Elephas maximus indicus: one gene and its partners. The protein of the gene in region 1 interacts with the protein of each later gene in a pairwise test. Links are inferred from orthologs where the notes say so. Each region holds a gene or a part of one and is shown on either strand. Other genes may lie near its edges.

What was found.
Region 2: the proteins of TRAF3IP1 (region 1) and IFT20 interact in a two-hybrid assay, tested with the Homo sapiens proteins (2 studies listed by IntAct). The link is inferred for Elephas maximus indicus from reciprocal best matches to the Homo sapiens genes TRAF3IP1 and IFT20.
Region 3: the proteins of TRAF3IP1 (region 1) and GOLGA4 interact in a two-hybrid assay, tested with the Homo sapiens proteins (2 studies listed by BioGRID and IntAct). The link is inferred for Elephas maximus indicus from reciprocal best matches to the Homo sapiens genes TRAF3IP1 and GOLGA4.
Region 4: the proteins of TRAF3IP1 (region 1) and SMC4 interact in a two-hybrid assay, tested with the Homo sapiens proteins (2 studies listed by BioGRID and IntAct). The link is inferred for Elephas maximus indicus from reciprocal best matches to the Homo sapiens genes TRAF3IP1 and SMC4.

Annotation. Positions count from the first base shown.
Region 1 is NC_064824.1:140,402,472-140,410,412, forward strand, and holds the start of TRAF3IP1 (TRAF3-interacting protein 1), read left to right. Parts: upstream 1-4,934; 5' UTR 4,935-4,961; coding exon 4,962-5,084; intron 5,085-7,941.
Region 2 is NC_064837.1:23,671,447-23,679,338, reverse strand, and holds the start of IFT20 (intraflagellar transport protein 20 homolog), read right to left. Parts: upstream 3,004-7,892; 5' UTR 2,839-3,003; intron 1-2,838. Other genes in the region: TNFAIP1 (BTB/POZ domain-containing adapter for CUL3-mediated RhoA degradation protein 2), read left to right, coding at 6,911-7,115, 7,725-7,892. UniProt on the Homo sapiens protein: Part of intraflagellar transport (IFT) particles involved in ciliary process assembly. May play a role in the trafficking of ciliary membrane proteins from the Golgi complex to the cilium.
Region 3 is NC_064845.1:2,971,614-2,979,460, forward strand, and holds the start of GOLGA4 (golgin subfamily A member 4), read right to left. Parts: upstream 3,004-7,847; 5' UTR 2,702-3,003; coding exon 2,630-2,701; intron 1-2,629. UniProt on the Homo sapiens protein: Involved in vesicular trafficking at the Golgi apparatus level. May play a role in delivery of transport vesicles containing GPI-linked proteins from the trans-Golgi network through its interaction with MACF1. Involved in endosome-to-Golgi trafficking.
Region 4 is NC_064841.1:323,254-330,240, forward strand, and holds the start of SMC4 (structural maintenance of chromosomes protein 4), read right to left. Parts: upstream 3,002-6,987; 5' UTR 2,596-3,001; intron 1,192-2,595; 5' UTR 1,187-1,191; coding exon 1,051-1,186; intron 621-1,050; coding exon 442-620; intron 1-441. UniProt on the Homo sapiens protein: Central component of the condensin complex, a complex required for conversion of interphase chromatin into mitotic-like condense chromosomes.

The DNA of each region.
Region 1 (7,941 bases):
CACAGGTGGTAAAGGCTGCAGCAGATGACAGATAATTTGACTGTGGATCCAGGGAGGGCTCCCTAGTCCTGGTAAACCCGTCTCATCAACGATCCTATCAGAAGGTTGTATGTTAATGGGCACCTGGGACTCTGTTTTCCAAGAAGCCATCTCAATATTGCAGTTCTCCTTACGTGGGAGTCTCCTCTGACAACTTAATTTTCAACTTTTGTTTCTGATTTTAAAAGCTATGATTTATTGAGAAATAAATTGAAGAGAAATGGAGCAGGCAGCCAGGGAAAGGGTGTTGTCATCACATTCTGGACAGACAAAAAGATGATGGGTGTTGGAGTTCACTGCAAGTACTGTCCTTGTAAGCTCCAGGATCTACCTTGGAAGGTCATTTCAATGTCCAGTCATCAGCCTGGGAAGATGGCGGAGAGAGACGTAAGTCTCAGTGTCCCAACACCCTCAATTACTCAAGGTTGATGATTATTGCGGAGTACTGTCTTCCATCGGTTGCTCTCTTGGACCCAGAAAATGCTGTTGCCACCATCACCTCTGGCTTGGACCACTGCAATAGCTTCCTAACTCGTCTTTCTGTTTCCTACCTCTGAGAGTCTGTCCTCAACAACATATGCGTTGAAAACATAAGCCAGCTCTCTCACCTCACTCAGTAAAAGCCAAAGTCCTTACCTCAGTCTACAAGGGCTGCATGGACAGACCTTCCCTCCTCTATTCTCTCTCTGTCACTCATTTCTCTCCAGCCACATGGGTGTCCCTCCTTCTCCAACATCCCTGGCTTCTCAGCATTCTTTGAGCTGGTTTTAACATCTTACTAGTTTCCTCATGAATTCAATGAATTGAATAAAATCTTTCACAAGTGGTCATTTTATATTTGCAGGAGAGTCCTGACTCTACCTTTTGGAAAATTACACTTCGATCATTTTGGAGTTTCCCCTGAGATGCCCAGCTGTACTCCCCTGCCTAGCCAAGTAACCTGTGGTGCCAGAGAAGTGCACCTCGTGGGCCATTTAAACCTGGGCACCTCTTGGTTCCTGGAGAGAACCCAAGCAGCAAAAGAACTTTAACTTCACTGATTCTCTTTTTTTTTCCTACTGCTTTTGTGTTTTTTGTTTTTATTTCTGTTTCACTCCTGGCCAATAAGTCATTTATCATTGGTGGCACTATGATGGGGATTTGGTCCTGTGATCTGACCATTTAGTGTTATTTGCTGTGTAGATGGTGGAGACCAATCTTCTGTGGGTGACAAACGGCAGAGAATCCACATTGCTGCTCTTGTTGGTTTGCCTGCTTGTCTATTTGTGAGTCAAATCAATGAAGATTTCATGCCCACTGGGTGGGAGGACAGCTATTTGAGATCTGGACTGCTGGGTTTTTGTGTTTATTTTTGATCTATGGATGAAGCTGAAGGGCTGAAGTTATAAGTCCTCTATGTGTCCGTGTGTCTGTTCAGAAAGGTTGTTCTCTCTCATGTGAGTATAAAACAAAATATTTCCCTACATTTGTTGTTGCTGTCATTAGGTGTTGTTGAGTCGCATTGGACTCATAGCGACCCTGTGCACAACAGAAGGAAACGTCGCACGATCCTGCGCCACCCTCACAATCGTTGTTATGCTTGAGCCCATTGTTGCAGCTACTGTGTCAATCCATCTCCTGAGGGTCTTCTCTTTGTCACTGACCCTCTACTTTACCAAGCATGATGTCCTTCTCCAGGGACTGGTCCCTCCTGATAACACGTTCAAAGTACGTAAGACAAAGTCTCCTCATCCTTGCTTGAATCTGGTGCCTGGAAGGCCCAGTTTGAGACAGCACTGCTAGCAGCAGAGCCCTAGAACACATTGCATTGGAGGTAAGCTTGGACCATGGTCACTTTTGGGCCGGCAGCTAAACCTGCACCTGCCCCACCCTCAGCTAGACAGACAGTGAGAGTGAGCTCGGGGCCCCTGTCTTCTTGCACTGTTGGCACCTGAGGCAAAGTCTGGTGCAGGTGTGTGCGTGATTGGTGGACCCAGGTCACATGACATGCCCCGGTGCAAGGCTGGCTGGGACAATAATCCTTTCCATTCTCAGCTCCCAAAATGGGAAGCAGTCTCACCCCCTCAAGACTCATAAAATAGACATTTTCCAGTCATAGAATGGGGCTTAGGGGCTGCGTGGGCAGGGACAGTATCAGCTATAGCCAAGCTATAGCCTCCTGAGAGCTGGTTGCTGAAGCTACGAGAACATTTCTCAGGCTTTAAATACCCTGGCCTTTATAATAACAACAACAATAAAATTTGCTCTGTGTGCCTGGGGTCAGAGTGGAGACTGGTCAACAGGAGTGTGGTTAGGGGCTCCCTGAAAACATCTGGGGTTCCTCTGCACCTCCCGGTGCGGGCTCACTGGGTCCCCACCTTAGCAGTGGGCTGGGCCTGCGTTGGTGGGCAAACAAGCGGGTCCCCCGGCTCCGCTTACCTGTTTGCAGCATTTACAATGGCTCTGTCGTCAAAGTCTGGATGCCCCGCAAGGTGCTTCGTGAGGCAGAACTTACACCCCTCCCTGCAAGAGAAGCTGCTACAAGCACAGCTTAAAAATTTTTGGGAAAATGACATAGATTGCTCAAAGGCCTTTTGTGGGGAGAGGATGGGATCAAAACCCCCAACCCTTTTCTGCAAGGTGTGAAGTATGGAAATCCCCAGGGAAGGGCCTGGTGGGAGGAAGGGCAGGGCATCTCCCTAGGCTTGAATAATAACTTCCAGTGTGATTGTTTGCTGTGTGTGTTTCCTCCAGCCTACGCCAGACAGAAAGGGAGATTCAGGGATGGCCACACAGACACTCGAAGGGCGGCGACCTGATTTGTACCCCAAAGCTGGATGCAGCAGGCACAGGAGATGGTTCCCACCTGTGGGAGAAATTGGCTCCGAGGGGCTTCCAGGCCCCAGTGAACAGGCGTTTGTTTGCTGCCACAGCTGGGGTGGCCAGATGTAGCAAACAAAAGCACAAGATGCCCAGTTAAGCTTGAAGTTCAAATAAAGAAGGAATAAATTTTTAGTATAAATCCTATTATCAAGTAGATTCCAACTTATAGCGACCCTGTAGGTCAGAGTAGAACTGCCCAATAGAATTTCAGGTAATTTTTATAGAAGCAGACTGCCACAGCTTTCTCTCCTGGAGCCACCGGTGGATTTGAACCACTGACCTTTTGGTTAAAGCCCTCAATTAGCAGCTGAGCCGCCAGGGCTCCAAATTTTTAGTATAAGTATATCCTAAACAGGATATACTTATACTAACAAATTATTTGATGTTTGTCTGGGTTTTCAGTTTAACCAGTTGTCCCGTATTTTCTCTGGCAACCCTAGCAGTAACTCTCTGCTGCTCTTGCGGGTCCAGGGCTGGCGAGGTGGCCACTCTTTCCCCGTGCCTGGTCCCTGCTGCCCAGCGTTCCCTGAAGCTGACCCATATCCTGGGCCCTGGGCAGATGAGGAGCTCAGGGTTGGGCTAAGCCAGTCTCCTCAGGCCTTTGTCTCTGGGAATGTTTGCCTCCCTGTCGGGTGGGCTTGGGGAGGCAAGGCCTGGAGACAAGGCTTCGTGGGGCTCTCTCTCCCTGTCTGAGTCATGGCCATGGTTGTTTCATGCATTCAGTCAGAAACTGTTGATTTCCAAAGCCTCCCCTGCCAGGCTTTTATTTGTCAAACACATTCTGTCTGTGTTTTTCTACAGTCATCCAGCTGATTCTCTTTTTTATGAATAACTTGTTTTTATATTCTCAGCCTTTTTCCTCAGTGCTTTCATGGTTCTTTGAGGAGCTTGGGAGGTAATTTAGGCTAGGCAGCCCTCCCAGCCAGCCCCTCCCTCTGGCCCCCACTGAGTACTGGTTCCGGGTGTCTTTCTTGCATCTGGGGTCCTTGGCTGCCTCTTCTCAGCCTTGCCTGTGCCCTCTTGTGTGGAGGAGTGGACTCACGTAGGACGACGCAGTGGACAGCAGGGCCTGGAGCGAATCTGTGCTCCCAGAGGATGGTCCACTCCCTGGTCAATCCCCGTCAGTCTCTCCGAGGGGTCTGGTGCTCTGCTCTTTTGTCCTGGATGCTGCTAGTGTCTCTCAGACACCTTGATGCCTGGATACGCCTCAGCTGCGGGTCTCTGATAGCCATGAGTGCCAAAGTGGGCAGTCAGGCCTGTGCCCTCGGTGCACAGCAGGGCCTCCATGGGGTCTCCCTGCCTAGGTCATTCCCTTTGCACCATCCTGGGTGGAGTCCCTGGGTGGTGCAAACGTTAAGCGCTCAGCTGCTAACTGGAAGGTTGGAGGTTGGAGTTCCCCCAGTGGTGTCTCTGAAGAAAGGCCTGGCGATCTCCTTCTGAAGAGTCGGCCATTGAAAGCCCTAGAGAGCACAGTTCTACTCTGACACACACACGGGGTCCCCATGGGTTGGAGTCAGCTTGATGGTAACTGGTTTGATTTCGATCCTGGGGGGTAGGTAAGGCAGACAGTCACATTATCGTCCCTGTTTTACGGAAACAAATGGCGTCTCAGAGAAAGCAAGTTACCTGTCCGAAAAGCCACAGTAAGTGACAGATGGACGAGGGCATTTTTCTTCCGTGTCTTTTGGGATACTTCAGTCCAGCCCCTCCCATGAACCTGCCTACGAGCGCCCGTGCCTTTTGTGAGACAGACAACACGGATCCCGGAGAACACGCTGTTCCCGGACAGGCCCCCCTGGCGGCTTCCCCGCGCGGGTCCAGCGGGCGGGGCGGCGGCGCGTCGGTTGCTAAGGCCGCGCTGCCCTAGCGACGGAGGGCGCGACGCGCACGCGCAGTGGCGGCCGCCGTGCACTGTGGGACGGAAGCCGGGCGGCGCGGCGAGGCGGGCCGGGAGCGGGGCCGGGAGCGGGGCCTGGGCCGGGAGCGCGGCCGGGGCGGCGGGCCGGGGCCGGGGGCCGGGAGCGGGGCTCGGGCCGGGCGGGCCTCGCGCGGGCGCCGCCATGAACGCGGCGGTGGTGAGGCGGACGCAGGACGCGCTGGGCAAGGTGATCCGGAGGCCGCCGCTGACGGAGAAGCTGCTGAGCAAGCCCCCGTTCCGCTACCTGCACGACATCATCACGGAGGTGGGCGCCGGGTCGGGGTCGGGGTCGGGGTGCGGATCCGGGTAGGGGTCGGGGTGCGGGGTGCGGGGCAGGGCCGGGGTGCGGACCGGGGTCGGGGTGCGGATCCGGGGTCGGGGGGCTGGGGTGGGGGGTGCGGGTCGGGGTCGGGGTGCGGATCCGGGTAGGGGTCGGGGTGCGGGGTGCGGGGCAGGGCCGGGGTGCGGACCGGGGTCGGGGTGCGGATCCGGGGTCGGGGGGCTGGGGTGGGGGGTGCGGGTCGGGGTCGGGGTGCGGACCGGGGTGGGGGATGCGGGCCGGGGTCAGCGTGCTGGCCGGGGTCGGGGTGCAGGCCGGGGTCAGCGTGCTGGCCGGGATCGGGTGCGGACTGGGAGCCGGGGGGCTGGGGTGGGGGTGCGGGTCGGAGTCGATGCCGGGGCGCGGCCAGGGGTCGGGTCGGGCCTCGGGTGCGGACCGGAGTGCAGTTTGCGGCCGGGGATCGGCGCCTGGGCTGGGGGTCGAGGTCAGGGCGAGTGGTTGGGGTTGGAGTCAGGGCCGAGGTTGCGGGCTGGAGATGCGAGTCGGGGCTCGGCCCGGGGCTGGGTGGCAGCGGGCGCCTGGCGTTGCTCTGCGGGGCTCCTGCCCGCGGAGACCGGCCTTTGGCCTGGCCTGCAGCGGGGGGCGGCCACTGGGCCTAAGCTGTTGTTAGCCTTCTGCGAGAGTTGCTGCCCTCGCCCCTGCTCTCCTCTTACCCATCCTCCCGGCCCCTTGGGGAGCACTCTGCTTTCCTGCCTACCGGTGTCTAGTTAGGGCTGGTCCTCCACGCTTGTCTCGGTGATTCCCCTCCCCTGCTCGGGAGGGGCCTGCTGCCTTCCTCCTGGGGTCCTGCAAGGCCTTGCACGTGGAAAGTGCTCAGTAAACCTTGAGAAAATGGAGTTCTTTTTCTAGGTGCCCGTCGACAGTGCAAGGCAAAGCAGTCACCACATTTTGCAAGCTTAGTAAATACCTGCTGGTGAATTTATTGGAGGTGGTCGTAGGGAGGCCTGAAAGGAAAAACTAGTGGAGGAATTTACTGCTTGGTGATAAGTCTGCTTTAAGTAGATACTGGCTGGCTGTGTACCTTTTCGTGCTGTGGTTGTCATCATGGTTAGTTGCCTTGAAGTTGGCTCCGACTCGTGGCAACCTCGTGTACAACACAATAGAATGTTGCCTGGTCCTGTGCCATCTTCGTGACCAATGGTATGTATGTCCAAGTCCACTGTTGAGTATTTTAAGTGCCTTCCAGCTCAGGGGGCTCATCTTCCAGCATTGTATCAGACAATATTTTGTTGTGATCTACAGGATTTTCTTTGTCTAATTTCGGACGTAGGTGGCCAGGCCTTTCTTCCTAGTCTTAGTCTGGAGGTTCTGCTGAAACCTGTCCACCGTGGGTGACCCTGCTAGTATTTAAAACACTGGTGGCATAGCTTCCAGCATCATAGCAATGCACAAGCCACTGCAGTACAACAAACTGACAGGTGGGGGTGGTTTTCCCCTCTTGATTGTCAGTTCCTGAACCACGGAGACTGGAACTTCTCTGTTGGCATATCCTGGGTGAGCTGCCACGAGTAAGGTACAGTACACAGAGGCTGTGCAGCAAACATTGGCTCGTTGAATGGAATTGGTCAAGGCTCCTAGTAACCCTTGGGGGAGGGTGTATGTGGGGGCTGGCAGCGCCTGTTTCCAGGGTGGACTTGTGGGCAGACATTGGACGAGGGTGTGCTCCTTGGGAATCAGGAGTCAGGTTGTACTTGGGGGCTTTTAGCCCTTATCCCCGGGCCTGTTGGTCCTCTCGCTTTTCTTCTCCCTCACTCCCACTGCTTGGTCACCTTACTCTTCCCCAGACTTTGCATTGCCATCTCGCCTTTGCTGATCACGTGTGCCTCCCAGGAGTGCCTCATTTAAAAACCCTACAGTGCCTAAAACCTCTCTCAGATCCTAACCAACCCCAAGTGCTGCCTGCATTGGTCTCCTCCTCTGCTCAGCCGGTGCTTCTCTCCCAGCCTGTCCTGCACTTTGCGTTGAGAGTTGGGTGGGAGCATGCTGTGTCCCGGTTGCCCTGTGTCGCCCTCAGCCGAGGGGCAGCAAGTAGGGGTGAGCCAGGTGTGAGCCGGCAGCACGGACAATACTGCGGGTGCCTCTGGTCTACCCTTTCATCCTCCGTGTTGGTCTGTCTCCCCAACAAAAATGTAGCCCCGAAGAAGGGCGGCAGAGGGCCTGTCAGGGCTGCCACGTGCTCAGTACACTGCGGGTTCCTGAACCTCTCTGGTGTGACTGGAGCATCCTAATGGGAAACGAGAGCAGAAGAATTCCGAGAAGAATTGACTGGTTGGCGAGGTGGACACGTTGTGTGGAAGAAGCAAGGTGTTCTGAATCAGGACTGACTGGTCTGCTTTGTCTTCTACGTGCTCGGTAGAGTAGAGGGTCAGCGAAAAAGAGGAAGACCCTCGATGAGATGGCTTGACACAGCGGCTGCAACAGTGGGCTCAAGCATAACAATTGTGATCATGGCACAGGACCAGGCAGTGTTTTGTTCTGTGGTACATAGGTTGCTATGAGTTGGAACTGTCTTGATGGCACCTAACAACCACAACAACGAGGTGGGGACGAGTGTTTGCACTCCACTGCTAACCTAAAGGTTAGCAGTTTGAACCCACCTAGCAATACCATGGAAGAAAGGCCTGGCGATCTGCTTCCATTGAGATTACAGCCAAGAAAATCCTGTGGAGCACAGTTCTACTCTGTCACCATGAGTCAGAACTGACTCGATGGCAACGGGTTTTTTTTTTTTTTTTTTTAAGTATCGAAAACGATTTCTCTACTTGGGTAAAAATATATATGC
Region 2 (7,892 bases), on another chromosome or scaffold:
TATAGGGTACTGTACACTTGCCTGAAGTAGAACCCAAATGTGGGTCATCCTGGCTAGCAGGAAACACAAAAAGGAATGAAGAATCAGCAAGAGTGTACCACAGAGGCGGCCAGGGAAAGGCATCCCAAGCAGAGAAAGCAGAGTGGACAAAGGTCTGAAGTCACCGAGAGGGCCTGTCCTGCCCAGAGGATAAAGGGAAAGAGGATGGAAAAGAAGCTGGGTTGGAGCCAAATCTGGATGAGACTGTACGCTAAGCTAAGGAGTTTGGATTTTTTTTTTTCTCTGTAGGCAACAGAGAACCAACAGAGATAGTGTCTGTCTTCCCAGGTCTCCTCACATTTTTGGCTAAAGGATGTGTCAATCATGGGAGAAGAAACACGTAAAACTCACCCTTGTTCTGGCTTAAGAAACAGGCAAAAAACGAACAGAAACAGTGCATGCCCTGTCTAGAAAAGGAGGCAATACTACTTAATTCTAGTCATTGCCTGCTATAAACCAAACCTGTTGCCGTCAAGTCAATTCTGACTTAGCAACCCTATAGGACCGAGTAGAACTGCCCCATAGAGTTTCCAAGGAGCACCTCATGGATTTGAACTGCTGACCCTTTGGTTAGCAGCCCTAGCTCTTACCCACTATGCCGCCAGGGTTTCCACTGGCTGCTATGCCAATTCCAAAAACCCAGGTATTCCAAAGGCTGCCATCACCTGCCCCTGCGACAGACCCTTCCCTCTGCTCCCACCTCCCCCAGCCTCACTGGGTTCCCTTCTAGCTTCCTGAGAGACGTTCTGTTCTGAAGGGGTGATTCTGATGGTGACTGCCGGGGGCAGGGGCTCCACAAGAGGAGCAACGGTTGGAAAAGAAAGCCCCACTGTTGCCAGCACTTCCGATTTTCAAGGGACCAGAAATACGGATTTTTATATGAAATCTGACTTTTAAGTGTTGGTGTCTAAAGTAAGGGGAAAAAAACAAAACCACACAACACTGTGTGGGCCAACTAATGTATGTCTATGGGCTGCTTGTGTATGACTCTGTCCCAGAGCCTTTGGCCTCACTAGAATCCACTGAAGTAAGTAAGGTAGCATCTTCCTTTGAAACATTTAATCATACCAAGATTACTTATAATCAGGCTTTTTAAAAAGATTTGTCTTCCTGGTTGTCCTGATACACTGCACCTCTTCCCCAGGGACTATGCATTCATTCAGAAATATCTACTGAGTCCTTGCTCTGGGGATCAAGTAGTGAACAAAATCCTTTAGCTACTGACCTCTGGACAGACAATAAACAAATAATCACAAATCATAATAACAATATGAGGAAAGTCACACAGAGCTATGTGAAGGTGTAGCAGGAGGACATAATTCATATGGGGAAAGGGTGTCAGCATAAGGCCTCTCCGAAAAAGCGAAACTTAAGCTGAGACCTAAGGATGTCCAAAAGTTTATCAAGTGAAGGGGAAAGGGAGGCAGTCCAGGCAGAAACAACAGCGTGTATGAAGATTTTGAGGCTGTAAGAAACCTGAGGCAGTCCAAGAACTGAAAGGCCACTGTGACTGAAACACCATGAGCAAGAGGAAGAGTGGACAGGATGAGGCTAGATAGCAAGGCTAGAGTTGGATCATGGAGGGCTGTGAAAGCCACAGTGATGAACTTGGATTTTATCTTAAGGGTAATGGGCAGCCAGGGGATTCTCAGCAAGGTGGCATAATCAGACTTGCATTTTAGAAATACAGTAAAACCTGCAAAAGCTGGAACCAATGTAAGGCAGAAACCTGTTAGAGAAGGAAAACTCAAATATTTTCCACTAAAATAAGCGATAAAAAAGTAGCAAGACTACACCCTTTCAAAGGCAGAGACCCAGAACAACAATGCAGTCCCGTCGAGTTCCGGCTTTCACAGGTTTCACTGTATAACTCTGGGTCAGGATGAAGAATGGATCGGGGAGAACAAGAGGGCGGGGCTGGCTACACCACCTTGTTCAAACCTGTAGCCCGAGCACATGGGGCCTTGACATAATTGGCACTCAGTAAATGTTTGTGGCATGAATGACTGTGGGAACAGGTAGTAGGCTATTACAGTAACCAAGGCTTGGAAATTACAAAAAGCGTTCTGATTTGAGATATTTTGTAAGTTGAGTCCATTGGACTTGGCAATGGATTGACTGAATGTGGTGGCTGGGAGGTGAATGAAGGAAAGAGGCGTGATTTCCAGGTCTCTATCTTGAGTCAACGGAATGGCTGGACGGGATAGTTAATGAGATGGATAAGACCAGAGAAGCAGTGTAGGGAGAGGGTTCACAGCCAACTACCAGATTCTCTCCTCACTCCTACCACACACGCCATGTCTGCATCTGGGGAACACAGGGTAAATAGCGGGGGCTGACTTCCCTCCAAATAGATGCTGTGACACTCTCTGTGCCCCCCTCACCCCTCTCCCCCCCCGTCCTCCCAGAGCCATGCTAGGCACAACAGTGAACACCATCCGTGGGGTGTGAAGGAAGGCGCACTGGGCAGAAAGTTTGGAAGACCTGGGCGATGGAGCTGGCTCTGTGCTAACTACGTAAACTCTTGGAACTTATCTGAACCAGTTTCCTCGTAAAATCACTGCGCGCATGAACGCGTAGGAAGCTCCTGGCCTAAGCCGGGTGTAAACACAACTCCCAAAGGAAAAAAAAAAAAAAGGAAAAAAAAGTCGGGCTGAATTCCCCCGTCACTTTTGGCCCGGGACAGCCTCCGGGCACGGGTCTGTCAAGTTCATCTCGCCCCGGGCCCGCCCGGCTCTGCCCCCAGCCTCGGGGGCACGAAGCCGAGCACGCATTCTTCGACCCGCAGTCATGGCCTACCTGCAGGCCCCGTAACGGTGGCGCGCTGCGGTCCAGGCTGATGTCTGCGGCACTTTCGCTCGCGGGTCAGCGGTACTCTGCCCACCTGCCGGCCTCGGCCGCTGCCACGGCTACAGGGCCTGTTTACCGGTGACGTCCCTACCTGACACCGGAAACACTTACAGCCGCCCACCCCCACAGAGCCTGCTGGGAAACGGAGGCCTGAGGGTAAGGATGACTGCCTACAAGACCCAGAGGCCTCTGCGCTGGCCGGGTTGCCGGAAGTAGCTGTGGTCTCACCGCAGAATACTCGGAGGGGCCGGCCCTCTACCCCGCGATACCGTGCTGGGCATGCCGGGCCTTGTAGTCTCGGGCTCCCCGACTGCAGGGCTGGGCCGCGGCTCCGGGCGGAGTCGGCGGGCGGAGGATGTGAGCTCACGCTCGGGGATTGCGGGCGGGCAGGCGGCCGCGGTCCAGGAGCCTGCTAGAGACCCAGCTGAGAGAAGGGAGCGGCGCCCCTGGGGAAGGTGAGAGCAGGGGCTGGAGCAGAGACGGGCCCGCTCGGTATTGGGGGAGAGGGGAGGGACGGCGTAGGAGAGATGGAGAGCTCAAATCCTCCTCTGGGGATGGGCGTCAGGACTGGTCTCGGTAGTGAGAAGGAGTACGGGCTGGGGAAGACTCCACAGTGGCTCCCATAGATGTTGGGGCTCGCTAAATTTCACCAGGACCCTTTGAATAAAGGCTAAGATTCACACCTAGGATTTCTCCTAAAGCCGTTGTCTCCTGCCAAGATTGGCTTTCCTCACCATCCCTTGTGTGACGAATTTCTTGCTCCTTATTCCTCAGGACCCCACCTTCTCCCACCGTATTCGCGGTGGCTGTTTATCCTTTATTCTGCTTGAATCCCTTAATCTTCACTGAGTGAGACACGGATACGCCTCTAGCCCGAAAAAAAAAAAAAAGGCGCCCCCAAATAATCCACACACAAAGTCCGGAAGGAAGAGCACTGAGGGTGTCGCAGGAAACTTCACCTCCCTGGAATTCCCTTCTGGGCGTTACCTGCCGCAGGATTCCTGGAATCCATTGGTTTGGGCGGCATCTGAACTGACGTCATTCATGGGCCCAAAGCAGTTGCTTTTGTAGGGAAGGGAATGGGTTAGCTCTGGACAAAGACTTTTGTCTTTCTCTGTTGACTAGTTTAGCTTTAGTGTTCCTTTGCTTTGGCAGAACATGTATGTGTACTTTCTTTGGTCCTGGGAACGCTGGGTCTAGACACAACAGACAATACAAGGGGAACTTATTAAAACTTGTTAAGGGGTGGGTTTATTTCTTTGGGTTGGGCTAGGGAAGTAAGGTGATCTCCTGCCATTTGTTACTTGCCGATTGGACAGATTGTGGGTGAGGGCCCAGCTCCTCAACGTCCCATCGCTGAGGCAAATTGAAGAGCCTCCCGGACCAACCCACAAAGGAATTCAGTACTTCATACAGCACCTGCTCTGGCCTGTCCTTGCACATTCTTCCCAGGGATCTACAGAAATCCTTTCTGGGACAGCTTAAGTCTTAACAAACCAACATATATTAAATACTTAAAATAGGCATGGCATCGTGCTAAGCATTGTTTGCAGAGCAAAACAGTAAACTGAAACCAGGGCACTGTTACCGGTTTGCATTTACAAGGAACGATGAGCAACTGTAAGCTGCATGTTGTGAGGATTAAATGAGGTAATTCCTCTTTTTCTGTCTCTGTTACTACAGTGGTAGTCCAAGCCATCATCATCTCTTACCTAGACTACTGCTTCCTCTGGTCTTCCCACTTCCTCTCTCACATTCTTACAATCCATTCTCTCCACAGGAGCCAAAATGATCTTTTCAGAACATAACCACATCATCTCACTCCCCTGCTTCAAACCCTCCTGTGGATTCCCATTGCAGTTAAAATCCAAACTCTCATGCCTGCCTTTCCTGATCTTACATTCAACCAACTTCCTTCTTTTTTCTGTGCATCAGCCATTTTAACCTTGTTTCTTTTTGTCCAACTTGTTTCTAGCTGAGAGGCTTTGCATTTATTCTTCTATCTGTCTGGAATGCTCTTTCAGATCTCAGCTTAAATGTCACCTTCCCGAAAAAGAGTTTCCTGGCCACTTATTTAAATTAGTGCTTTTCCCTTATCACTGTTTTATTATCTTTTTTGCATTTATCACCTTCTAAAATTGTCTGCTTATTTGTTAGTTTTTTGTTTATTGTCAGTTACACACACACACACACAAACACACACATGCAAACATGTAAGCTCCGCGAGGACATGACTTGTTTGTTCTCTTCTGTATTCATAGGCTTGGCTCATAGTAGGGGCACAATAAATGCTCTCATTTTATTCTTGCTGACATTATGATGCTTCTTGCAACTTCTTGAAGGAAATGACAATCTCTTCATCTTTCTGTCCCTGCTGCATAACATAAAAATACCAAACCAAACCCATTGCTGTCAAGTCAGTTCCAACTCTTAGCAACACTAAAGGACAGAGTAGAACTGCCCCATAGGGTTTCCAAGGAGCAGCTGGTAGATTTGAATTGCCTACCTTTTGGTTAGCAGCCCAGCTCTTAACCATTGTGCCACCAGGGCTCCACTGCAAAAGGTAGGATTTGTTATTGGTGGTGGTGGTTGTTTTTTTTTCCTAAGTTAATTAAATGGAGGCCTGGTGGCACAGTGGTTAAAGCACTCAGCTGCTAACCAAAAGGTCAGCAGTTCAAACCTATCAGCCACTCCGTGGAAGAAACATGTGGCAGTTTGCTTCCGTAAAGATTATAGCCTTTGAAACCCTATGGGGCGATTCTACTCTGTCCTATAGGGCCACTATGAGTTTGACTTGCACGACGGCAACAGGTTTGGTTTTAGGGTTTAATATGTATTAAATGCTTAGAATTATACCTGGCATATAGTAAACATGCAACAAATATTACCATTTTTCCTCCAGCGAATGAATTTTATTGATTTTTTAGAAAGCAAAAAAAAATGTATATATATATATATGTATATATATTATCTAAATCATAAGGGGTGACCTGGCTTTGCTCTCCTTTTCTTTCCTTGCTCCTCCCTCCTATGAACTCCTGTTAGAGTTTCAATTTCCAAGTCACGTAATTGTTTTTAGATTTATCTTCTGGTCTTTTGTGGCCCTTTTCTTGTTGAGAGGGAAGAGAGGGAAAGATAGGGCTGGGCCCCCTCTCAGGAAAAAAAAAGAAAACAGCCATCCTGTAGTTGATCTACCCTGAAAAACAGTGATAATTTCATGAACTTGGGATAAGACTGGTGTCAAGAAATGGGAAGGTCAGGAGCCCCCAGCAGGAGCCAGGGTACCTCTGCCAAGAGCAGTGTGCCAGCACCCTCCCACCTGCCTCACTGCCTTCTTTCTCTCCTAAAGCTGCTTTCACTTTCCTTCCTGGAACCAGACCCCAGGTGGCACTCAGACTAAGCACTGGTGCTGGCTGCTTCTGCTTATGGAATCTGGTAGGAAGGAAGTGCATCCTGTCCCTCTGGCTTCTGGAAAACTCCTAGGCAGGCTGCATTCCCAGTAGGTTTGGCTGGAAGTCGGAGATCCTGGGAACTCAGAATAACAGCAAGTCTGACTGGCAGATTCCACAGGATGAGGATCTCTGCTGTCAGTCTGTTCCTCAGACCCTCTCTGACCAGTTCCAAGGACTTGCTTTTCTTTCTTGCTGCCCAGAGCTGAGCTGAGTCTCCTGGAGGCTGACTCAACTCTCGCTTGGTGAGGTGACCAGAGCCAGGCTCTGAGAAACTGTGCTCCAAGCATGGTTCCTGGGACAGTAAAGAACATCAGGGAAGTCTTTCTTACTGTTGCCCAGGAAGTTGGCCTCTGCCAGGGAGTACTTGGACTGGTCAGTGTTTCTACTGTTGTCCCTTCTGGTTTGCAGGCTCTACTCTGCTGACTCCTGTCTTCTCTCACATCTTTTGCCCACAGAACTGAGAGTATGAGGCTCTGGTCTCCACTGGCCACTCACCCGTGACCCCTTCCACCACGGTGGAGCCTTCCAAGCCTACCTCCTGCCGTGTGGTAATCTACCTGCAGCGGGAGATGTCGGGGGATACCTGTCTGTGCCCAGCCTCAGGGGCCAAACCCAAGCTAAGCAGCTTCAAGGGTGGAAGCTTGGGCAACAAGTACGTCCAGCTCAATGTAGGTGGCTCCCTGTACTACACCACCGTGAGGGCACTAACTCGGCATGACACCATGCTCAAGGCCATGTTCAGTGGGCGCATGGAGGTGCTGACGGACAAAGAAGGTGAGGCATCAAGGCTTGTTGAGCGGGTGGAGAGAAAAGGAGGAGTTCCTGAAAAGTGACTTCGGGGCGGGGCTTAAGCCTGGCAGATCTAGAGTCTCAACTCACCTACCATAGGACTTCTTCACCTGGAGTCCTTTGTAAGCTTCAGAATCCTTTGAAATTGTATATAGAATGTTGTGCATTTATGCATTTTTCCAGGGAGAAGATCCATACTTGTTTTATAGTCCTAAGAACCATCGCAGTAGTGCCCAGGCAGTGGGCAGGAGAAAAGCAGGGCCTGATGGTTTCTGTGTTGCAAGAGGTGGGCCTAAGTGCTCCTGAGCTTGGACCTCTGGGGCTTCAGCAGAGCCTGGAGGGCTGTGTCTCCCACAGCAGGTGTCGGTTCTTGGTTGCAGGGTGGAGGGGTGAAGAGCAGCCATGAACCTGAGAGCTGGAAGTTCTGGTCCCACTTCTGTCACCACTGTGCCGTGGGCCCTATGTTCGTGTAACTCCTTTTCTTGCCACCTGCCACCAGATCCACCCAGTGACCTTTTGCCTCATGCTTGTTTCTGAGACACCTGGAGGAAAACAGTAATTCTCTGGGTCTTAAACTCTGGTCTGAATCCCTAGGCTGGATCCTCATAGATCGATGTGGAAAGCACTTTGGCACCATTTTGAATTACCTCCGAGATGACACCATCACTCTGCCTCAAAATCGGCAAGAGATCAGGGAACTGATGGCTGAAGCAAAGTATTACCTCATTCAGGGGCTGGTGAACATGTGCCAGAGTGCCCTGC
Region 3 (7,847 bases), on another chromosome or scaffold:
CCAATCCTCTGGAGTGGGTAAAACGGGACTGCCTCTCAAACCCTATTAAATCCAGAGGGCATGGTGCCTCCAACAAAGAATAACTTATCCTCAAAAATGATGCCCGAGTCAGAAGAAGAGAATATCATACACATTCGAGATCCTTTGCTTAGGAAAGGATGTATGTAATCTGTTGCAAAAAAAAGCATTTTTTGTTGTTGTTGTTTCGTATTGTTTTTGTTTTTTAGTTAGTGCTTGAAAGAAATCCTTAACTCTCTGAAAACAATTATCCGGAACTTTTCTTTCCTGAGGGGCTGGGAATAGCTGAGGACCTAGGACCAGAACAGAACCAAGTTTCTACCAGTAGGTGATTGACAACTTATTTTTTACTTCTTGGTAAATACACATATATTCAAGAATGTGAACATATCAAAGAGGATTTTTAACCTTTGGACACAAAGTGTTTTATTTGATACCGATGACCCTCTCACTAAAGATAAGCCAATGCAACAGTACTAAACTGAAGAAACAGGGAGTTCTACCTTGGCCTGTGACTACCTTTACTGTTATTACTACTAAGCACCTTTCTTCCCACTGCAAAAAAGCAATTCATTTTCATGAAAAAAAACTAACATTACAGGTCAGGAACAGAACACTCATGGCTCACGAGCACCGTAAGGGCATCTCCTTCCTGAATACTTTCACTAAGGATGTATGTAAACTCACATATAGACACGTTTTCCCACAAAGCTGTGATCACGTGTTACATGTGGCTTTTTACGTGCGGCTACTAACACAAACATCTTTCTGTGTTACCAAGTTTCCTGTGATTTCTAACAATGGGTGAATGGCATTGGGCAAGCTACTTCAATTCTCTGGGCCTTGTTTTCCCATGGATAAAAGAGGAAGGACGGGATTATCTACCCGATAGGTTTGTTCGAGAACTGCTGGACATTTTTAGCAAGCTTCTACCTAACATTGAAATGAAAACCTACATAGCTGTGTTTTAATACATCCTAAATTACTTTCTTTGAATAAATTTCTAGAAGTGACATCGTGGATCAGTGATATCGTGCACGTTTACAAATGTTAACTGCCTTACATTCACTAACCTGTCCATTTCCCTCTCCATCTCTGCCTCATTTTTCTTAAGCGTCCTGTAAAGTTAAAAAGTCTACAGTAAATCACATAAAATGAAAATCTTTACTATTTAAGTTTTGATCTCTATTTGCACTTTACTTGGAAGAATGAGCAGACCTTCGGTGCCACGTTGCAATGTCTTTCGCAAGCACTGTTCTAGTCCACACAAACTAAATTTTAAGAGAACAATTTTCCAACTCGTCTCAGAATAAACTCAGCGCAACAGCTGCTTCAACACAAAATAAATGTTATGTCAAAAAATTATTAAAAATGCCACCGATTAAGTCAAAACTCATGCTTTATTGTAACAGCAGGCAAAGACCAAAAACCAAGCCCACAGCTGTGAAGTCCAGTCCGACCCACAGCGACCCTACAGGACAAAGCAGAACTGCCCCCTAGGGTTTCCAAGGCTGTCATCTTCGCGGAAGCAGACTGTCACGTCTTTCTCCGCTGGTGGATTGGAACCACCGACCTTTTAGTTAGCAGCCGAGCGCTTGGGCCAATGCGCCACCAGGACTCCTAGACAAAGACCAAAACCAAACACCAAACTCGCTACTGTGGAGTCGATTCCGACTCCTAGCGACCAGAAACCCTAAAACTGAAAGAAAGGTTTGCGCAATCGGTGAAGGAGGCCTTCGAGGAACTTCGGCAGGAGCCCCGCCGACGGCGCCCCGGCCGACAGCACCCTCCGAGATCACGTGCTGACGCGTCAGAACGCGTAGGCTGACAACTTCGGGGGCTGCTTCCCGAAGCCGCCAAGCTGCCCCCTGCCCCGTAAACGGTCGCTTCCTGCAGCCTCGGGCCTGGAGCACCCGCAGACGGCAGCAAAGCGCGCAGGGCCGCAGGCCGGCGGGGAAGCTGGAGGCGGAAGGCGGAGCACCGCGCTCAGGGCGCGCCGGGCTCGACCCAGCTCCGCGCAGCGACGCCTGGTGCCCGGCTCGGCCGCTGGACGCCCGCCACCGCCGCCTCCCCACGTCCCCGCTCCTGCCGGGGGCCTGGGACCGAGGGCGCGACCCCGGTCCTCCCTGCGGGGCCGGGCTTGGGGGCGAGGGCGGCCGGGCTTGGGGGCGGGGGCGAGGGCGCCCGCGCGGTGGGTCACTTCGGGGCGGGGATGGCAGAGGGGCGCCGGCTCGGAGAGCAACCATTAGAAGGGACTCCCCTCCGCGCTCACCCACCAGCTGGGACCTCGGGTGGGTAGGGGTCGTCCAGGGAGCCGGGACCTGGCCTAGGGCATCAGGGAACCCCGACGGAGCTCAGCTGTCAGCTCGGGCCCGCCCGCCCCAGCCCCGGTCCCAGGCCCGGCCCCCTCGTTCCCGGACCGAGTGCCGCGAGGGCGGCGCCGGGCTCAGGGGTGAGGGGACCCGGGTCTCCGTGCGCGCCCTCCCGGCCCGGGGTTTGGGGAGGTCCTAGGATCAGGGTCAGGGATCAGGACGGAGCTGCCCTCCCTCTCACCCCCGAGCCAGGTCAAGGGGCGTCGGGCACCAGGGAAGGAGAGCGGCGGCCATCGTACCTGAGGCGGAGCCAGCGCCTGCTGCAGCTGCTGCTGCTCCTCGCTGATCTTCTGCTTCAGTTTCTTGAACATGGCGCAGCGCGGGGTCCCGAGCGTGAACGAGACCTGAGGGTGCGCGCCGGGGAGTCACCTCTCTACACCAGGGGCTGCGGGGGCCGGGCCTCGCCGCCTCCTCCCTGGGCTCGCAGGCAGGGCGGGACGCTCGTCCCACAGGTGTCGGCGTCGCCGCCGCCGCGTCTCTTCCTCCCGGGTGCCACCGGCCGGCCTCGGCCCCCCATCCAGCCCCGGCGGCGGCGGCGACAACGGCAGCAGGTGAACGGTGCGCCCAGGGCGCCTGCGCGGCCGACGTGGAGCTCGCGACGGGGCCCTACGGGGGGCCGTAGAGGACAAGGCTCCCGCACATGCGCGCTGACGGGACCCTGGGAGGGGGGGGCTGCACATGCGCGCTGACGGGGCCCTACGGGGGGCCGCAGGGGACAAGGCTCCCGCACATGCGCGCTGACGGGACCCTACGGCGGCCGCACATGCGCGCTGACGGGGCCCTACGGGGGGCCGCAGGGGACAAGGCGCCCGCACATGCGCGCTGGGGGGCGGCGCTGGCTGGAGGTTTCTCCGGGGACTAGCTGGGCTCCTGCTGGGATCCCTGGCCCGTCGCTTAGCTGCGCCTCGACGCTGCGAAGTCAGGCGGAGAGGGTGCCAGGCCCCCCAGCGGAGAACGGCGTCCAGGCTGGGAGAAGGGTGGAACTGCGGGGGCCTGAGGTGGCCCCTAAAGGATAATGTAGTTTTGTTCAGTACTTCTGATCCCTGTGAAGCGCCGTCGCTCCATGCCTGGTCCTGCGCCATCCTCACAGTGGTGGTCACTTTGAGCCCATTCTTGCAGCCCGCGTCAGTCCATCTCGTTGAGGGTCTCCCTCTTTTTTGCTGGCCCTCTTCCAAGCATGATGCCCTTCTCCAGGAGCTGGTCCCTCCTGATAACATGGCCAGAGTACATGAGACCAAGTCTCGCCATCCTCGCTTCTAAGGCGCATTCTGGCTGTACTTCTAGGACAGATCTGCTCGTTGTTTTGGCGATCTGTGGAATAGTCAACATTCTTCGCCAACACCGTAATTCAAAGGCATCATTCTTAGGTGTTCCTTATTCCTTGTCCAGCTTTCACAGGCCATGGCTTGGGTCAGGCGCACCTTAGTCCTCAAAGTGACATCTTTGCTTAAAACCACTGAGCTTTGGCTTAGCAGCCAAGCGCTAAACCGCTGTGCCACCAGGGCTCCTCATTTGTATTAGGATTCTATATATTTAGTGCCCAATATTCTGACTGCTCGGTGGCGGGGGAGGAAGGGGTTCTTCCCTTCCCTGGAGACTTTAGGGAAAGTGCCTTGAGATAGGCTCCCAAGGCCCAGATGTTGCACGCCAATAAAGTAAGACACGGATCTTCCTGTCACCTGCCTTTAGTTTTTCATTCACTGAAATTGTGTATTTTCATGTATTCACACAACAACCTTTGTTTCTAAATGCCAGTACCCTGGAGATGGTACACTTAGTAAAACAATATTCCTGCCCATAAAAGAAACGCATAGCCTCGTGGAAGACACGGGTTCCCAAAGAGTTCAAATTTACTCTTAACACCTGCTATCATTTTAAGACTTTCTAATGTTTGTGTGCTTAATTCATCCAACACCTTGAGCTTTTGTTCATAGGTGAACTCTCAAATCCACCTCAGCGACCTGCTTGTGCGTGCTACACCTTTGGCATCATCTGAAACTGCTTCACATTGCCTCAGGTATCAGAACCTGACAGCGTAGACTGTCTTCTCATTTTAACAGATTTTATTTACCAACATTCATATACACAAACTGTTGTTTAAGACTGCAGAGCCTAATCACTAAGCATGTCACAGCTGGAGCAGGGCTGTAAGCTAGCATCATAGGTCCTCTAACTTCAGGGAGGATAAGGAATCACCATCGGCCCCAGGCTGATTCCTTTGATTCCTGTGTGTTGGAGGTCAGACATATCTCCACCCTCCAGTCTTTTCACCAGTTCTGACACCAGCTGCCACTACCCTCCCCCCACCCTCTCTGCTTCTCTCCTGGGTTCCATAATTTGTTGCAGTGGCCGCACAGAACTCACAGATCATACTCACCATTATGTGGTGTATTAGAGAAGTAACAGGCTGCCATTCAAGAACAGGATTAACTTGGAAGTAACAGGAACAATGTAGGAGGGGACCAGGACTGTTTCCAAGACAGCTCGTGGTTCCTTGCTGGCCTGGCCTCCTCTCAGCCTCTGCCTGCTTTTGCAAGTGTTACAGTTCTTTAGCTCAGCCGACAAGTGCCCTGAGGCACCCCACCACAGCCATCTCACACTGGTCTCCAGTTTCCAGCCATCTCACTGCAGTGGCTCCTGCTGCTGCCACGCCATCTCTTGCCAGTGCAAGACGGCCATCTCCAGTGTCAAGCTCTCTATCTTTATGATAGTGAGGTTCCTCTCAGTCCCTGTGGGATTAGCCCTTTTATAAGCCTACTGCCCCTACCAAGACCACAAACTGACAAATCCCCTCTGTAGTCCATAGTCAGCTAATTTGCTTAGCAATTGACCAATCTCCACAAGGGTTTTATACATCTTATTTGCATAGTACATTGTCCAATCTCTTTGCAAGATTGTGGCCTAGCGAATAATCTTGGCAGAACTACAAACCCAGGACCAGAAAGGCCATATATAAAGAGAAGCCTATTGCACTGCAGGGGCCTGATGGGGACACTGCCCTGACGTCTGGATTAAGTCCTCCCGTACAATCAACACCCATGTAATTACCAAGAGAGTGTTTCCTTTTTTAGGAGCCTAATGTTTTAACAAGGTGCAATGCTTAAGCCCTTGACTAGTAAAAAAAAAAAAAAAAAAAAGGTCAGTGGGTGAAACCCACCAGCCACTCTGCAAGAGAAAAGACTTGGTGATCTGCTTCTAGGTTTCAGCCTAGGAAACCCGACAAGGCAGTTCTACTGTGTCATATAGGGTCACTATGAGTAGGATTGGCTCAACGGCACACAGCAACAATCTCTCAACAGACTATAAAGTCCCATAGGCTTCTTTCAGACTTCAGATGCCCAATAGGCATTCTCACCCCAGCATTCACAATTATACATCACAGGTTGACAGTTTTATATTTATACATATATTTATCATTGTTGTTAGTTGCCATCAAGTCAATTCCGACTCATGGTGACCCCATGTGTGCAGAGTAGAACTGCTCCATAGGGTTTTCAAGGCTATGACCTTTCAGAAGCAAATCACCTGGCCTGGGCCTGTCTTCTGTGGTGCCTCTGGGTGGGTTCAAACCCCTAACCTTGTGACCAGCAGTCAAGCGCTTAACCCTTGGCACCACCCAGGGATCCTTTATACAAAACACTTCTTTAGAACAAATTCAGCTCAAGGCTAGGTTGTAACCTGAGTCTTAACTCTCTGCCCTTCATATCTCATCTCCTCTTACAGGCTTTCTGTGACCACTCCCCCCCCCCCCACACACACATACACACACGAGTGGAGTCCACCATGCTCGTCTGTGTACAGCCTCGTTCTTACATGCCGTCAATGCATGTATCACCTTCTGTGTTTATCTTTTTATTAATACAAAAGTAATATATATACTTATTGTAACAAAGTCAAACAAAAGTGTAATCTTATCCCCCAAATAACTTCTATTAATAATTCAGTTTATATTTTGATTTTAGTCTTTCATTTATGAAAATAGGCACATAAATTTATATACTTGTATACAAATATATTTATGTTTTATTAAAAATGCGTTGTATATAGTCCATATCTTGCTTTTCTCAATTTACGTCAGGATTGTCCGTTCTAGTCAGTACGTGGGAACTGAGATCCCAGCAGTAGGTTCCACGGCAGACTCCGCACTGCGCACTTGTCTCCTCAAAGTCTGTCTTGACAGTTGCGAGTATGTCTCTATTGTTCCCAGTGTCCAGAAGACCTTAAAAAGCAGGGAGATAAAAAAAGAGATACTGTATACAGAACAACAACAACAAAAATGACTGCATAGAATGGCATCCTTAAAATGTTGAAACAAACAAAAAAATGCCAACAAACTTGTACTACAAGAAATGCTAAAGTTATTGAGGCTGAAAAGAAATGATACCAGAGATAATGCAGATAATACATTTCTCTAAAATCCAAATGACTATTTAAGGCAAAAATAATAACCCCACATTGTTGGGTTTGTAACAAACAAAGGTAGCACAAAGGCCAAGAAGTGGGTGTGGCAGTAAAGTGTTCTAAAGACTTCCATCGTGGGGGAAGTGGTATAATAACTAATACAAGTGAGACTGTGGTAAGTTACTATGCATATTGTAATGCCTAGAACAACCACTTAAATATGATAACACAAAATATATAGCTAGAAAGCCAATACCGAACCTAGTGCCATCGAGTAGATTCCGACTCATAGCGACCCTATAGGACAGAGCAGAACCGCCCCGTAGAGTTTCCAAGGAGCGCCTGGCAGATTCAAACTGCTGACCCTTTGGTTAGCAGCCGTAGCAGTTAACCACTACACCTCCAGGGTTTCCAGAAAGCCAATAGAGGGTATTAAATTTAATAGAGAAAATAGTCAAGTAATTCAAACGAAGGCAGCAATTGAGGAAAGAAAAAATAAATGGGCCAAATAGAAAACAAATAGCAAGATGGTAGACTAAAACCCAACCACGTCAAAATTACATTAAACGTAAATTCATTAAACATTCTAGTTAAAAGGCAGAGGTGGTCATAGTGGATAAAAAGTAAGATCCAACTTTATGCTGTTTATAAAAGATGCAATTTAAATGTAAAGATAGACTGATAGTAAAAGCACAGAAAAAGATATATGATGTGTCACAATCAAGTTTCCCCGTGACAGACTCTGAGATTTGTTGGAACTTGGGGAACAGAGGAGAGGAGCCAGGTGTACGCGATGCTGTACAAGGCAGCCTCCTTCAGCTCAGGACGGCACAGAGCAGGCTCAGTCATCCCGGCCAACACTACCACGTGTGGGCAGTGGGCTAGAGAAGCCACTGCACTGAGCAAGCCAGACTCGTAGGGCTGCTATCGCTATATTACTATCAAATAAAGTAGACTTCAAGACAAAGAGTGTTAAGGATAAAGAGGGCCATTTCAAACCTATAAAAGGGTCAACTCCTCAAGAAGATTTAACAATCCTAAATGTATATCCACCTA
Region 4 (6,987 bases), on another chromosome or scaffold:
TTTTTATCTGAAGTAAAACTACACACGTTTACAAGCTTTCATTGCTTGAAGACACCCAACTTCAACTTTTAAGTTTTTTTTTAAAGTGTTTTCCTCTCTCACAAGCTTTCACACCTAGAGACCATATTCTAACTGTAACCCACTTTTTTTTTTTTTTACGAAATTCATTTTTGTAGTTAAGGAAAACACTCCTTTCAAACAAAAAACTAATCAATTCTTCTTAGTGAAGAAACTTTATATGGAATGAGGTATTAAAGATATCCAGATAAACAAAAGCTAGTTTCAGATATTGAAGCATGAGAAACACTCGATATTTATCTATGCACATACACGATAAACACATCACTCAGCGTGGCTCAGAATAAACAGTTAAAAACACTGGAAAGATCATGTAAGAACTGATACCTCCGCTAACAGCAGTTACATAAGAGGGGCACATACCTTGTGAAAAGGTCCCAGAATTTTCTCCCCGGCGTAGGATTTGAAGTTCTGGTTCACGATGTGCGTTATCATCAGCCTGGGAGCGCCGGCTTCATTGGTCATCGCCGGAGGCGGCGGCGGAGGGACGCTGCCCAGGATTTCTTCTAAACTTCGGCTGTCGAGGTCCTCCCCGGGCGCTTCTAGGTCGGCGGAGGCAAGGCAGGGGGCCTCCCTTAGCGCAGGGAGCCGACCTCGGGGCGCGGCACCCCGCCTTTCCACCTGAGCCCAGGGAGGCTCCCCGCGCGCCTCAGCCCCGGACTCCGGGCCGCGCGCCTCCTTCCTTCTGCCACAGGTGCCTCAGGCCACGCGGCCGCGCCGAGGGCCCGCGACGTGCCCGCGGGGTCACAGACCAGGCACCGGCGCCGCCCGCGAACGGCCACCGGCCCTCGGCCGGCCGTGCCGACTTCCGCCGCGCCAGGGACGGGCGTCCGCGCCGCCACCAACCGGCTCCCACGCCGAGCTACGCGCTCGCCCCGTCCCCGCCGCGCCGGAGCGGCTTTCCCGGCCGTCGACGGCCCGGCCCCGACCCCCGACCCCCGACGCCCGCCCGTCCCGGGGCCCCGCACTCACCCGCGGCGGAGGAGCTCGGGCTCTCGGCGCGGCCGGACGGCGGCTCGGGCTCGGCGTCGGGGCTGGCGTCGGCCGGGGACCGCGGCGGCTCCTCTCCGCGCCGGGCGGTGGAGGGCTGGGCGCCTTTGCGGGGCATGGTGGCTGGGCGGGGAGAGCCCGAGCCAGTCAGCCCGCGGCGGGGGCGGCCTCCTCCAGGCGGGCCGGCTCGGCCCCCCGCCCCGCTCCCACCGCCCCGGCCCTGAGCCCACACCCCGCCCGCCGCTCCCCGACCTCGTACCCCGCGCGCCGCTCCCCGACCTCGTACCCCCCGCCCGCCGCCCCCAGCCCTGACCCCATACCCCGCCCGCCGCTCCCCGACCTCGTACCCCCCGCTCCCCGACCCCATAGCCCGCCCGCCGCTCCCCGACCCCATAGCCCGCCCGCCGCTCCCCGACCCCATAGCCCGCCCGCCGCTCCCCGACCCCATAGCCCGCCCGCCGCTCCCCGACCCCATAGCCCGCCCGCCGCTCCCCGACCCCATACCCCGCCCGCCGCTGCCCGACCCCATAGCCCGCCCGCCGCTCCCCGACCCCATAGCCCGCCCGCCGCTCCCCGACCCCATACCCCGCCCGCCGCTGCCCGACCCCCGACCCCAGCCCCCCGCTCCCCGACCCCATACCCCGCCCGCCGCTCTCCGACCTCATACTCCCAGCCTGCCGCTGCCCGACCCCCGACCCCCGCTCCCCGACCTCATACCCCCAGCCCGCCGCTCCCCGACCCCCAACTCCGTCGGGGAAGAAGCCACAATAAAACCGAAGGGCAGGAAGGCGGGATGGTTTTCTCAGGAAGACCTGGGCAGGTGGGGAAGCCCAGACGTGCCCGGGAACCAGCCAGTTAACCCTCCAGGTTTTTCGGGACCCTCGGCCCCGGGGCGCCCCCAGTGTAGCCGCACAAACTAACTCGCCGACGACCCGACCCCACACGCAGCCGACGCCGACGGACGTGCCCGCTCTCCGGCGTAGGCAGCAGCGCGCCTCGGCCCCGAGCGGCCGCCGGCCCTCCCAGGCCACCCAGGAGGGAGCCCCTCGCCGCCGCGGGCCGCTCGGGGGCTTCGCCGTCTCCCCTCCCCGCGCGACCCCGAAAGGGCGGCCGAGGGCTGGGTCGGCGGCGGCGATTCCCTCCTCAGGACGGCCCGCGGCCGAGCGCCGTTAGACGGAAGTCAGCCGGGAAGGGTCGCCAGCGAAGGCTCAGAGGCGGCCGCCAGTCCCTCGGGGGCGCCCGGAGGGCCGGGCTCGGGCCGGGGGCACGGCTTTCCCCGCAGAAGCGGCCGGCCAGGCGGCAGCCCGCCCAGGGGACGCCCGCGGAGCTGAGCGCCGCGCTCGGGAGAAGCGCGCGGGGCCCGGACCGCGGGAGCGGCCGGGGGGGGAGGGGTGACAGCGGGGAAGCCGCTCGGCGGAGCCTCGGGACCGGCTCCGCGGTCCGGCTCCCGGCCTCTGCTCTCCGGGCGCCCCGGGCCGCTCGGCAGCCAAGGATCCGACCACCCGGCCGGGAAAGGAAGTACTTTACCTGCGGGCCAGTCCAAGGTTGGAGACGGTTGCGGAGCCCACCGCGCTCCTGCCGGTGTCTCGGCTCCGGGTGCTTCACTCGAAAATGGCGCCTAAAATACAAACTCGAACGGAAATTCGTTACAAACGCGCGCAATGCTTTCTGGGATCCACTAATTTGAAAAAAAGTGCGGCGATTACCGCCGCCATCTTCTGGTCATTCTTGCGCAAGCGCAAACTCCGGGCGGACCCCGGGCGGTAGGGGACGTTCGTCCTAAGTGAAAACGGAGGAGAAGGGAATGTTTACCCAGCGGCCAGTAGCAGCAGCACTATTATAAACACCACATTTAAAAAACGTGGCGGTTTTTGAAAAAGAGAAAAAAAAAATAGAGTCGGGTTCCGCCCACAGCTGAAGGCGAGGCTCAACGTCCAACGACGCCCCCTGAGGAGCGGGCGGGCGCGCTGCGGGGCGGGGCCTCGGCTCGGCTCCGTGACGCGCCGTGCGGTGCGGGGGGAAGTATCGCGGGAAGGCGGGGAGCGTTGCTGGGAGACGTCACTATGGTGACTGCCCAGGCTCTGTGAGGCCAGTCTCCTCCGCTTCACTGGGACCTGAGGTAAATCTCGTCAGCTCCGGACGCGGCCAGGAAAGGGCTCCTCGTTGTAGCCAGCACCTTTCCTGCTTTGAGGGTGCGTGTGGCACGGAGCACCTGTTACAGTCTGTCTCCCTGGGGTACAGGGGCTTTGGGCGTAGCTTTTGGGGTACCGAGGAGCCCAGAGTTTGGGGGGCGGGGGGCGCCAGGAGAAGAGGAGAGCCTGGATTAGTGGTTGCTCGTGTACGCCATGTGGGAATAGCAAGGTAATGACTGTCGAGTTATTGGGGTTAGGTCATTAATGTTATTAGTGAAAGGGAGTTTCGGGCTTTTCAAATTATTTGACAAAAGGGCTCCGCAACGGAAGAAGCAATTTGCTAGTGTCATTTGGTTATTTTTATCGATCGGCAAACATTAAGGGGCTACTGTATACATGGCACCGTGCAAGACAAAATCAGGATTGTCAAGCAAGTAGGAGAATTCCTGTCCCCAGAGAACTGAGTTTTCTTTTGGGGTTTTTAACCGGGGTCTTTGTATCCAGTGGTAGGCGATTTGGCTTCGGAACAATTCATAACCCCTTTGTCATGTTATACAAAATTCTGTGTGTTTGTACGTTTTTCTGGGGGGTTAGTTTTCCCAGTACTTTCTTCGCATTCTCAAACGTGCCTCTAGGCCCCCTCGGTGTTAAACAAACAAAACCACTGGTTAATTTGACGACCTCCAGTAAGGATTTACCCAGGACTCTTATGTACTCGACATTGAGGACTGGGAGTCTTTTTTTTTTTTTTTTAACCTTTTGCATACTTAGGGCCTACCTTAGAGCCTCGTTTATTAAAAGCAATAAATCTGGTTTATGAATGAATTTACATTGTCACTCTAAACATGTAATGGCTCCTGCCCTGAAGGAGCACACAGTCAGGTTCAGGGGTGAGGAGGACACGTTCTCCAAGTGTAATAATTTGCTGGGGTTGGGAGGCTGGTGTGGTTTGAATAAACAATAACTAGTTATTATAATATGCATTTATGTTTGCAGTTGAAAAAATAATCATCGTTTTCATAACACAAACTGCAGAAAATGAAGCTCATTGAGAAAGTTTTTGGCTGGTATTCATACCAAGAAGATCTAGTGGTTCTCTTTGATGGCTCTAGAGTCTTGTGGATTTTTGAATGTTGTAAAATTGATGCAAACAGTTAATGTACTTGGCTGCTAACCAAGCACTTGGGAAGAAAGGCCTGGAAATCTGCTTCTGAAAAATGAGCCGTTGAAAGCCCTATGGGGCACAGTTCTACTCTGACACACATGGGTTGTGAGTAACATAGCACAATGAGTATGAGTAACATAGCACAATGTAGTAGAAAAATATGATATAGATAAATGTTAGAACCCCAAATCTCATCACTTTTAGGTACATACTTTGACAATTTACTCAATTTATCAATCTCTCAGTATTTATATATAAAACCAGTGTTTAACACCTATCCCATAGGAATGCTTATGAGAAAATTTCTAGCACACATCCTATAAGCATTTGATGTTGCTATGTTTATGACGTTGACTTTGTTAGGATATGTACATGAAAAATGGGATGTCAAGTTGGAGAAGGAGTAGCTTATGGAAGGTCTTGAAAACCAGGCCAAGGATGTTAGATGTGATATGGAAGAAAATAGAGCTATTAGAAAAGTTTTGAGCCAAGGAGCAACTTGGTGAAAATAGGAAGAATAATTAACAGTAGTACGTGGATGTGCTAATGGAAAGAAACTGAAATCAGTCATGACTTTAGTTAGATCATTGCTGTACAGTTCTCCATGTGAGAGGTGAGAATTGCCAACATAGCAGAATGGAGAAACATCCGGAATCATTTTGGGGGAAAAATCTATATAGTTTATATAGGTTTTGATGGATGAGTATGAATTTAAAATCAGTCAGATACTGTTCTTTGTATGTGAATCCCTGAATTAATGACTAAGAGGTAGGAATAAAAATAAATCTTAAAAATGAATCCTAGTTTTAGTGCCCTTGATGATTGCTGTCAATATGGTAGGACTTAGTGACTGATGAGAAAATAACGTAGTTTCAACAAATCAATAAGCTGACCCACGGTCTTAGGTTTACTTGAATCTAACTACGCCCCATGAAGAACAAATATTTTCAAAGCAGGCTTAAATCAGGCTACATAATGAAGTAAACACATTTGTAACAAGCAGCTACAGGGTAGACTTTAATTTGGATATTTATATGTGCTATGAGAATAAGACCCCCACGTGTCTGTCAGTTTGTCATATGTACTGTCAGGGCTTGTGTGTTGCTGTGATGCTGGAAGCTATGCCACTGGTATTCAGATACCAGCAGGGCCACCCATGGAGGACAGGTTTCAGCTGAGCTTCCAGACTAAGACAGACTAGGAGGAAGGACCCGGCAGTGTACTGAAAAACATTAGCTAGTGAAAACCTTACGAATAGCAGCAGAACATTGTCTGATATAGTGTTGGAAGATGAGCCCCCCAGGTTGGAAGGCACTCAAAAGATGACTGGGGAAGAGCTGCCTCCTCAAAGTAGAGTCGACCTTAATGACGTGGATGGCGTAAAGCTTTCAGGACCTTCATTTGCTGATGTGGCACGACTCAAAATGAGAAGAAACGGCTGCAAACATCCATTAATAATCGGAATCTGGAATGTACAAAAGTATGAATCTAGGAAAATTGGAAATCGTCAAAACTGAAATGGAATGCATAAACATCGATATCCTAGGCATTAATGAGCTGAAATGGACTGGTATTGGCCATTTTGAATCGGACATATAGTCTACTATGCTGGGAATGACAACTCGAAGAGGAATGGTGCTGCATTCATCATTGAAAAGAACGTTTCAAGATCTATCCTGAAGTACAACGCTGTCAGTGATAGGATAATATCCATACACCTACAAGGAAGACCAGTTAATAAGACTATTATTCAAATTTACACACCAACCACTAGGGCCAAAGATGAAAAAATAGAAAATTTTTATCAGCTGCTGATCAAACATGCAATCAAGATGCATTGATAATTACTGGCAATTGGAATGAGAAAGTTGGAAACAAAGAAGAAGGATCAGTAGTTGGAAAATATGGCCCTGGTGGTAGAAACAATGTCGGAGATTGAATGATAGAATTTTGCAAGACCAACGACTTCTTCATTGCAAATACCTTCTTTCATCAGCATAAATGGCGACTATACACATGGACCTCGCCAGATGGAACAACCAGAAATCAAATTGACTACATCTGTGGAAAGAGACGATGGAAAAGCTCAATATCAGTCAGAACAAGGCCAGGGGCCGACTGTGGAACAGACCATTAATTGCTCATATGTAAGTTCAAGCCAAAACTGAAGAAAATCAGAGCATGTCCAGGAGAGCCAAAATATGACCTTGAGTATATCCCACCTGAATTTAGAGACCATCTGAAGAATAGATTTGACGCATTGAACACTAGTGACCGCAGACCAGACGAGTTGTGGGATGACATCAAGGACATCATCCATGAAGAAAGCAAGAGGTCACTGAAAAGACAGGAAAGAAAGAAAAGACCAAGATGGGTGTCAGAGGAGACTCTGAAACTTGCTATTGAGCGTCGAGCAGCTAAAGCAAAAGGAAGATTGATGAAGTAAAAGAACTGAACAGAACATTTCAAAGGGCCTCTCGAGAAGACAAAGTAAAGTATTATAATGTCACGTGCAAAGAGCTGGAGATGGAAAAACAAAAGGGAAGAACACGCTCAGTGTTTCTCAAGCTGAAAGAAGTGAAGAAAAAATTCAAGCCTCGAGTTGCAATAGTGAAGGATTCC